Coturnix japonica: one gene and its partner. The protein of the gene in region 2 interacts with the protein of the main gene of each other region in a pairwise test. Links are inferred from orthologs where the notes say so. Each region holds a gene or a part of one and is shown on either strand. Other genes may lie near its edges. The genes, in order: ADRB2 and GPR37.

The links.
Region 1: the proteins of GPR37 (region 2) and ADRB2 interact in a protein complementation assay, tested with the Homo sapiens proteins (2 studies listed by BioGRID and IntAct, with this or other methods). The link is inferred for Coturnix japonica from reciprocal best matches to the Homo sapiens genes GPR37 and ADRB2.

Annotation. Positions count from the first base shown.
Region 1 is NC_029528.1:10,594,467-10,598,728, forward strand, and holds the start of ADRB2 (beta-2 adrenergic receptor), read right to left. Parts: upstream 2,811-4,262; 5' UTR 2,589-2,810; coding exon 1,415-2,588; intron 1-1,414. UniProt on the Homo sapiens protein: Beta-adrenergic receptors mediate the catecholamine-induced activation of adenylate cyclase through the action of G proteins. The beta-2-adrenergic receptor binds epinephrine with an approximately 30-fold greater affinity than it does norepinephrine.
Region 2 is NC_029516.1:20,448,638-20,453,148, forward strand, and holds the start of GPR37 (prosaposin receptor GPR37), read right to left. Parts: upstream 3,032-4,511; 5' UTR 2,179-3,031; coding exon 1,558-2,178; intron 1-1,557.

The DNA of each region.
Region 1 (4,262 bases), on a different chromosome or scaffold from region 2:
CGGGTGGGGCTTTACCATGAGGAACGCCAAGGGCTCAAGAATGAGTTTGCAGCCACCCTGCACCTTGCAGCACCTTATGAGCCGATCCCATCCAGCGTTCCCTGGGCGCACCCTCGGGGGCTGCAGGAACAGTGGGCAGAACAGCCCAGGTCTTTGCGAGCCTCCTATTAACGGTGCCAACCCTGGGGAGAAGAGCTCCCACGGGGCGCGGGGCCGTCCCTCCCCCATCTTTCCCACGTGCTTCTATAGACACCGCACTTTCACATCCTCCTCGGCTCCCCTCTTTCAAACTGCAGCTGAGGAAGAAAGCGAAGGGGGGGAGCTCCATTTCAGCCCCGCGATCGCTGCTTTCTTCCAGCGGGGTCTCCGAGCAGCGCCGAGCAGCACAGCCACCCTGTCCGTCCGTCCGTCCGTCCGTCCGTCCCCACCTGCCCGCTCGCGTCTGCCACCGTGACAGCCCATGCGCCCGCCGCCAAGTGCTGCGGGAACGCAATGCAAAGCCCGCTGCAAGGGGAAAAAACCCTTCACAAACAAACCGACAGACCAACCCAGAGCCGTCCCGCGGCCAGGGCTGCGCTGCCGGACTGTCAGCCCTCAGCGACAGAAAATAAAACCTTCCCTGCCCACCTCTACGGGCTGAGAGCCGAATTTAAACTGGGCGGCTACAAGAGCTTTGGCTGCGGTCTCGATAAAAGGACGGGCTGCGACTGCAGCAGCGTATCGCCCAGCTTCCCATTATCACGTTCCTGAGTCCCACACCCACTGTATCACATTCTGGGCAAAGACTCCGTTTATTTCTATCCTTATTTCAGCGGACAGTCCTATAGCACTTGGCAAAAGACGCATTCGTGGTTGTCGTGGGTTTGTTTTTTTTTTGTTTTGTTTTGTTCTGTTTTTCCGGGCGTTGTTTAAACTTTCCCACTGACAGCAACAGGATCAGACGCAGCCGACAGAGCTCTAAGCATCCCTAAAGGGGGGGATATGGGGGCAGGTGCTGCACAGCTCGGGGAGCACAGCGCTCCCGCAGCAGCCGCCAGCACCGAGCTCATGAGGTAGTTCAACATCGGCCACAGCCAGGAAGTTCTTCCTGGGACGAGCTTTCTGCACAGCCTTAAAATACCATCCCCCAGCACTCCTCACCCCCCCGGCTCAAGGGACCTAAGGTCGTGCACTTAAATTCATAACCTCTGCAAGCAGCCAGCCCACCCAAGCCACCCAGGGCAGCCTTCCACCTGTTTGCAGGAGGTTTGCTGAGTTTTAGGTTCCTTGCAGCCATTGAGGTTTAGGTGTGCTTTAGGTGAGGATCGTTATTATTACTGGGTTTTTGTTTTTCCTTAGAGGAAGGCTCATCGTTAGGAGCAGTGTGCCACGCCAGAGCCCATCGCATCTCAGAGCTACCCACTAGGCACAGTACCTTTGCAGTGCAAAAAGTCCTCAGGGTGAGGGAAGGAGCCCTCTTCGCAGAGCAGCTCGCAGGCTTTCTCTGGTGCCAGGGGGTAGCCGTTCTCCTCCTCGTTGTAGTCACTCCTGCCGTTGCTGTTTGAGTAGCCATTAGCGTACATCTTCAGAGCAGACCTGCGGAGGCACAGGAGCTCCTGGAAGGCGTACCTGAAGTCTGGGCTCCGGCAGTAGATCAGGGGATTGAAGGCAGAGTTGACATAGCCCAGCCAGTTCAAGAGAATGTACACGTACTTGGGGATGATGTCGTCCTGGATGACGTGCACGATGTTGACGATGAAGAAGGGCAGCCAGCACAGCGTGAAGGTGCCCATGATGATGCCCAAGGTCTTCAAAGCTTTGTGCTCCTTCAGGAAGAACTTGGAGGAACGGCGGTGCCCGGTTTTCCCGTTCTGGTCCTGTTCCTTGTTCTGGATGTGAAACCTGCCCTCACTCCGGTCTATCTTCTGCAGTTGCTTCTTGGCCACCTGGAAGACCCTGGCGTACACAAATACCATGACCACAAGCGGTAGGTAGAAAGAGATGATGGAGGAGGCAATGGCATAGGCTTGGTTGGTGAAGAAGTCACAGCACGTGTCCTTCTCATAGCAGAGGATGGCCTCATCACGGTCTGCCCGGTACCAGTGCATCTGGATGGGCAGGAAGGAGGTGAGGGCCGAGATGGCCCACACCATCAGGATGACCACACGTGCCTTGCTCTTGGTCAGCAGGCTCTGGTACTTGAATGGGGAGGTGATGGCAAAGTATCGATCCACAGCGATGACACACAGGGTCTCGATGCTGGCGGTGACACAAAGCACATCCAGAGAGGTCCAGAACTCACACCAAAAGTTCCCAAACTTCCACATCTCCATGATGATGTGGCAGGCACCGAAGGGCACCACACCCAGTCCCATCACCAGGTCTGCACACGCCAGCGAGGTGATGAAGTAGTTGGTGACCGTCTGCAGGCGCTGGAAGCGGGCGATGGCGGTGATCACCAGCACGTTGCCGAAGACGATGACCAGCACGATGAGCGACATGAGGATCCCCATGCCCACCACCCACACGTCCCGCGACACCGTGGGGTCTGCTGCGCTCTGGTTGGCACTGACGTTGCCGCCGGGCAGCTCGGTGCCCTCCACCCCCATGTCCCCCCAGCCGGATCCCCGGGCAGGCTGCGGGGGCTGCTCTCAGCGTTCCGATGTCGTGGCGTTTCGCCGGGCTCCGCGCATAGGGAACAGCAGGTGCGGGCTGTGAGCGGTGGCTCCCGCCGTGCGGGGCTGTACGAGCTGCGCTCCGCTCCAGATCGCCCCGCTCCTCACCCGACCCAACTCGTCCCGCAGCGTCTCACCCGCCCGACTGTCCCCAGCCCGTTCGGCGCCGCCGAGCTTATAGCAACACCCGCCGTGACATCAGCCCGACACGGCCAATGGCAGCCGGCGCCGCGCCTTGCGCGCACCTCGCACCCCCCCGTGTGCCCCCCGGCCCGGCAGCCGCCCCACGCGTGTTCCAGCTCCACGCTACAGCCTGAGAACGGAGGCGTCCGTCTCCCTCCCCACGCTGCGGTCCCGCTGCCCCCCGACACCCCGACACGGGGTTATGTGACTTCTGCGCTGCTCCCTGCCACCAAAGCGAACAAATATCCTAAATAAGGGCTGAGGGATCCTACAAACTTCAGTGTCACGAGAGATAACGTTCTGGCTGGAACGCCATGTCTGCGCATTGCTGTGCACGGAAGGGTCCCATCTCCTCGTGCTGCCGTCCCGCAGGTGGCACCGTATGTGAGCGGGGGCTGCCCGCAGCCTCTCAGCCAGCGCTATCAATACAGGAGCCGCCTGCACGCAGGGGGAGCTTTGTGGTTTAACACCGAGGGGTGAGCGAGGTGCTGGAATCAGGAAACACGATGAAGTTGCAGTTGCAGCAGCTCGTGCTTCTGGCTCAGGGGCTGTAACGGGTGGCTTTGGAATGCTTGTGAAGCAGCCAAGAGTGCAGGGGAGCACTAATGACCTTAGTTAATTACCAGGACTTTTCAGTGCCCACCATTGAGTTAAAGGGATCCACGCAATCCATGCAACGTATGGCTGCAGCCAGCTGGTGGAAGGCTGTAACATCACACTGGCTTTGCACCAGGTGAGGATCTGTTCCATCCTTGAATACAGGCTTAACACCTGCAGGCTCCTGTGCACTGAGGTTCCTGCACGGTGCATGCACCTCATGGGGAGAACACAGCAGAAAACTGCTAGGAAAATGCAGGTGGATCAGATGTAATGTTGGGGGAGAAGAGCAGGAGGGAAAAGTGATGAGTGTGGGAACTACATGTTGTGCTCAGCTCACTGTCCAATGCTCTATTTGAAGACCTGGTCAGAAAACTCTGCCAAATGATCAAGGTAAGTCTATGGTAGTAACTGGCAAGTTTGCTTCCTGTAAGGCTAACATCAGGAAATGCTCTGACACTAAATCACAACTTTCAGGAAGTATCAGGTTCCTTGTTCCAATAGACATTTCATGCTTATCCTTGCAAGAAGTGCTGTCTTGAAAGGAGGAGAGGCAGCTTTGGGAGCTTAGGAGAAAACACACTGAGTCTGGGAGGGTCGGAGCTCAGATTTGTGTCTCATAGCACATGCAGAACACACTTGAGCTGTCTGTTCATCCTGCACATCCTGGTAATGGCCCTCCATCCTTCTCCAGAGCCTCCATCACCACCATGGTGTGGGATGCAGAACTCAGCAAACCCAGCTTCTATCTCAGTATTTTGGCATTTTTAATGTTATATTCACAGCAGTTTGTGCCTTGCGTGCTTAGCGGGCCATGGTGGAAGGCAG
Region 2 (4,511 bases):
AGCCGAGGCTGCCCAGGGGACAGGTCTGCTCCATGTCTGCAGTGTTCCTAGTGGTGTCAGCATTGACGGTAACACCCATGAGGTCGGAACTGCACTCAGAAAGTGGCAGACATTGGCTCTAATTCCCACCTCTGTCTCCTCAGGGTCAAATCATAGAATCATAGAAATACTTTAGTTGGAAGGGATCTTTAAAGGTCATCTAGTCCAACTCCCCTGCAATGAGCAGTGTTTTCTTCTACTTACTGCTCCCAGGGTGACGAATATTCTTTACATGCGTATTATACTTAATGACTAATGAACAAAATATGTACAGTTCTGGGAGTGACATGGTACCTCAAGGCTCTCTCTACTCAGTTGTTCGCCTCAGATACAACTTAATTAAATTTCCTCTGGGAAGAGGAGAATGACCCCAGTAATGACCAAGCCTCAGACAGGCACCATTGGGCTGGTCCATCATCAGTGGATGGCTGACAGTTCTTGAATAAAAGTTCAGCTGTGGGCATCTGAGGAACTTTAAAGTGAAAACTAAGGTGACATTAGAGAATAAAGGAGGGGTCAGCAGCTGCCTGATGCCTTCAGGATTACAGCTACATTTGACAGCTCCATTTCAGCTCAGGTAATTCAGAAGGGGGGAGAAGGGAGGGGAAAGTACTGAAATACTAAACTTAGATCACTACTTTAAATAAAGTGGTCACACTTTAACTGAAGCAGGAACTACTCATCTACTGGATAACACAGCATCCCTAGAAGTGAATTCAGAGCTCTCAGAAGCTCCTGCCCAAAGCTCCTATTAGCATTCTCAACAAATACATATTTCACCCTTCACTTCTTCCCAAACCCAGGTCAATGGAGTGTACCCTAAGCTTTCCAGATCACGGCATCAGTATACTAACTGGCTTCAGTTCCTCTGAGTACATCACAGCTCCACTCTTTGTCCAGTACTGCAAGTAACAGAGTGCATCACACAGAACAGAAGTGATGGCAGTGTAGTGGCTGCACGCTCTATCTTAAGACCTCCATAAAAGTATCGTTTGGCAGCTGATAGTGGAGACTGATATTCTATGTATTAATAACAGGGTTAATTTTTTTCTTCCCTTTTTCACACCTCTAGTATCGCATTTGTACTACAAGCAAATCAACAGTTTCTTCTCAGCTTCCAGTTTAGAGAATAACACTGAGCAGAAGGATTTGGGCGAAGAGCAGAGAGAGACAGCATACCGGGCTCCCACTCCATCTCACCCCTCATCTCCAGCACATGAATCCAACTCTCCTCCAACCTATCCCAACTCAATCCCCGAGTCATTTCACTTTAAGGGGGGGGGGGGGGAAAAGAAAGAAAGACTAAAACTTGTAATCAAACGTTGCGAGTACTCCTCGCCTTTTCAGCACCACGAGGAGCGATAAAAGTTTGGCAGAACTCGCACGAGAGGAAGCGCTCAGCCGGAGATACGGGGATCCCGGAGCTGCCACCCTGACTGACCACGGGACGCCCCCCGGAGCACGGGACCCCACGCTACGACACGAGGGCTGCCCGGGATCCGCTCGCCCCGCCGTTACCTCGATGTAAGGGACGATTTTGCAGGAGAAGTCCTCTAGGAGCCACTTCTTGGTAAGCTCCTGGAAGATGACCAGAGGAAGGCAGAAGAAGAGGATGAGGAAGTCCCAGAAGGCCAGGTTGGCCAGCAGGGAGTTGGAGATGCTCCGCATGTAGTAGTTGTGCCACACGATGCACATCACCGAGAGGTTCCCGATGATGCCGATGCCGAAGATCACCACGGAGAGGCACATAACGGCGTAGGCGCCGTACGACTCCTCGGTCAGCGGGTAGAAGGGGTTCCGGAGCCGGGCTCGGCGCCCCGTACCATTGCCGCGGCCCCCGGCGGCGCTCTCACCACGGGCAGAGCCGTTCAGCGGCAGCCACCGGGGGCCGCTCCCCGCCGCCGCCCCGACCCCGCTCTCGCTGCTCCGCGCCCGCCGCCGCCCGGGCTCCGCCTCGGCCCCGCGCCGGGGCACAGCGGCGACGGCGCGGCGGCCCGGGGGGGCGAGAGGCGTCGGCGCTGAGCTGGAGCGCTGCGGGGGCGCCGGCAGAGCAGAGCCGGCGACGGGGAGCAGGGCGCAGGCGGCCCAGGCGCCCAGCACCGGGCAAAGCAGGGCGAGGGGAGCGCGGAGCTGCCGCATGGCCGGGAGGCGGCGGGGCTCAGCCGCTGCCCTTCGGCTCGGCGGGGCTGGCGGCGGGGGACATACCCGCACTCGGAGCTGAGCTTCTCGCCGCCTCCCGGGGCAGTGCCCGAAAGTTGTGCCGCCGCCTCCGCCGCGCGGAGTTAATGTAGCGTGTGCGGGGCCGGGAGGACCCCCCCCGGCGCTCCGCCCTTCCGCGGGAGCGCTGCCGCCCCGCCGCCTGCCGCCTATTTACATCCAACAGCGGGCAGCGGGGCTCTCGGCTGGGAGAGGTCCCCCGGGAACGCCGCCCATACCCGGGTGACCGCGGCCACCGGCTCCTCCCGGAGAGAACAGGTTGTCGCGCGGAGCGCAGCGTGTTTGAGATCTTTGCCAAACTCCGTCCGTCGGCAAGCAACGCGCTCGGGGTAGATGCAGTCCCGGGACCGACCCCTGCAGGATGCTCCCGCCTCCGGCTGCAGCGAGAGGGCGGCGACCGCAGCTCCGTGCGGGAGCTGAGAGGTGCTGGTCGGCGGGTTGCTCCCGGCTCAGCCCGGTGCCGCTGTCAGCCCGGTGCCGCTCGGTCCAGCTCTGCCCAGCCCGGCTCGGCGCAGCGGCGGCTGGGGGCGCGTCGGAGAGACGGGCGAGCAGCGCGGCTGCCCCGCAGTGCGCAAGCGCCGCCCGGCGGCACGGAGGGACCGATCCGGCTCCGGCGAGTCCGATTTTAGTCGGTGATGGAAGATGTGGCCCAAAGCACCACCCTTACGACTGGACTGCGCCGGAGGCATCCCCGGATGGTGCTGAGACCCATGAAGGCTGCTCTGCTTTTTTGTTTGTTTGTTTTGTTAGTTTATTTTCCTGTTTTGAGCGTCTTTTAACGCTTATGTTTGTTGTCCTTGTTCTGTCTGATAAACTTTATAGCTCTTCCTTCTTGCTTCCTTGATTTTTATATAATTCAAGCGTTTTTTTAGCTAAACAAAGTTGGATACGCTAACCTGTAAGTAGCCTGAAGCTCTGTGCAGCTCCTCCCCACCACCTTTAAAAGTTTTACACTCTTTCTAAGAAGCACATTGAGAAGTGTTCTTGTTCCCCACCCTTGAGCTGAAGCCGTTCTGTTAGATCAGTAAGCAGCTGGAGCTGTGCTCCATGGCTGTGCGTCTAACAGAGCTGTGGGCTCCTCTTGTGGACAAGTGTTGCGACCCCGAGCACAAGGAGTGTGTTTGCAGGCTTTTTGTCTTAATGACCAACAAAGGAAAATGTCAGTCTGCAGTGACAGAAAATACATGCTGCACGCACACGGAGCCAACCTGCCAGATGCAATCAGGAACACGCTGCTGTTGCTTTGTCTCCGCAGGGCAGAGGCAAGATGTAATGCCCATAAGATTCTTTGTATGGATTGTTTTCTTACAGTTTATTTCACAGAATTATTTGAGTTAGAAGGGAACCTTAAAGATCATCTAGTCCAACTCCCTTGCAATGAACAGGGACACCTACAGCTATGTCAGTTTGCTCAGAGCCCTCTCCAGCCTGACCTTGAGCGTCTCCAAGGACAAGGCATCCACCGCCACTGGGCAACCTGTTCCAGAGCCTCACCACCCTTATTAAAAATCTCTTTCCTCATATACAGTCTAAATCTTACCCCTTTTAGTTTGTGATCGTTTCTCCCTGTCCCATCATATCACACCCTGCTAAAGTCTGTCTTCTACTTTCTTAGAGCCCCCCTTTAGGTACTGAAAGGCTGTTTTCAATCTCCCAGAGCTTTCTCTTCTCCAGGCTGAACAGCCCCAGCTCTCTCAGCCTGTCTTGGTAGGGTAGTGTTCCAGGTGAGGTCTCCCCAGCACAGAGCCGAGGGCAGGATCACCTCCCTCAGTCTGCTGGCCACTTTTGATGTAGCCCAGAATCTGGTTGGCTTTCTGGACTGGACAAACAATAACCCACCCAAGTGGCAGAAGGGAAGCATTGCATCAAGGCACTCGCTGGACTGACTTTGCTTTCAACAGAGGGCAAAGTGCCTGGGATCAGGAGCATCCAACATCATCTACATTGAGTGTCTGGAGGTGCCCCAGTACACTACCTACACCAGAAGGATGACAAAAATTGACCTTTGAGTGGCTAAAAGGAGTGAATCCTGTCCCACACTAACTGAAGAGCAGTGCCTTTCCATGGTGGTCGCACAGAAAGCTCTCAGGACCCAGGTGCCATCCTGCTCCTGACGCCATTCTCACACATAGAGTTGGAATGTAACTGTGGGCAGCCTGAAATGTTTCTAAGCATGTGGAAACAGGTATAATAAATTTGGCACTGCTGCATGGAATGCTCCTTAATATAAGTTATGCTATTATTCTTCCTTAGCA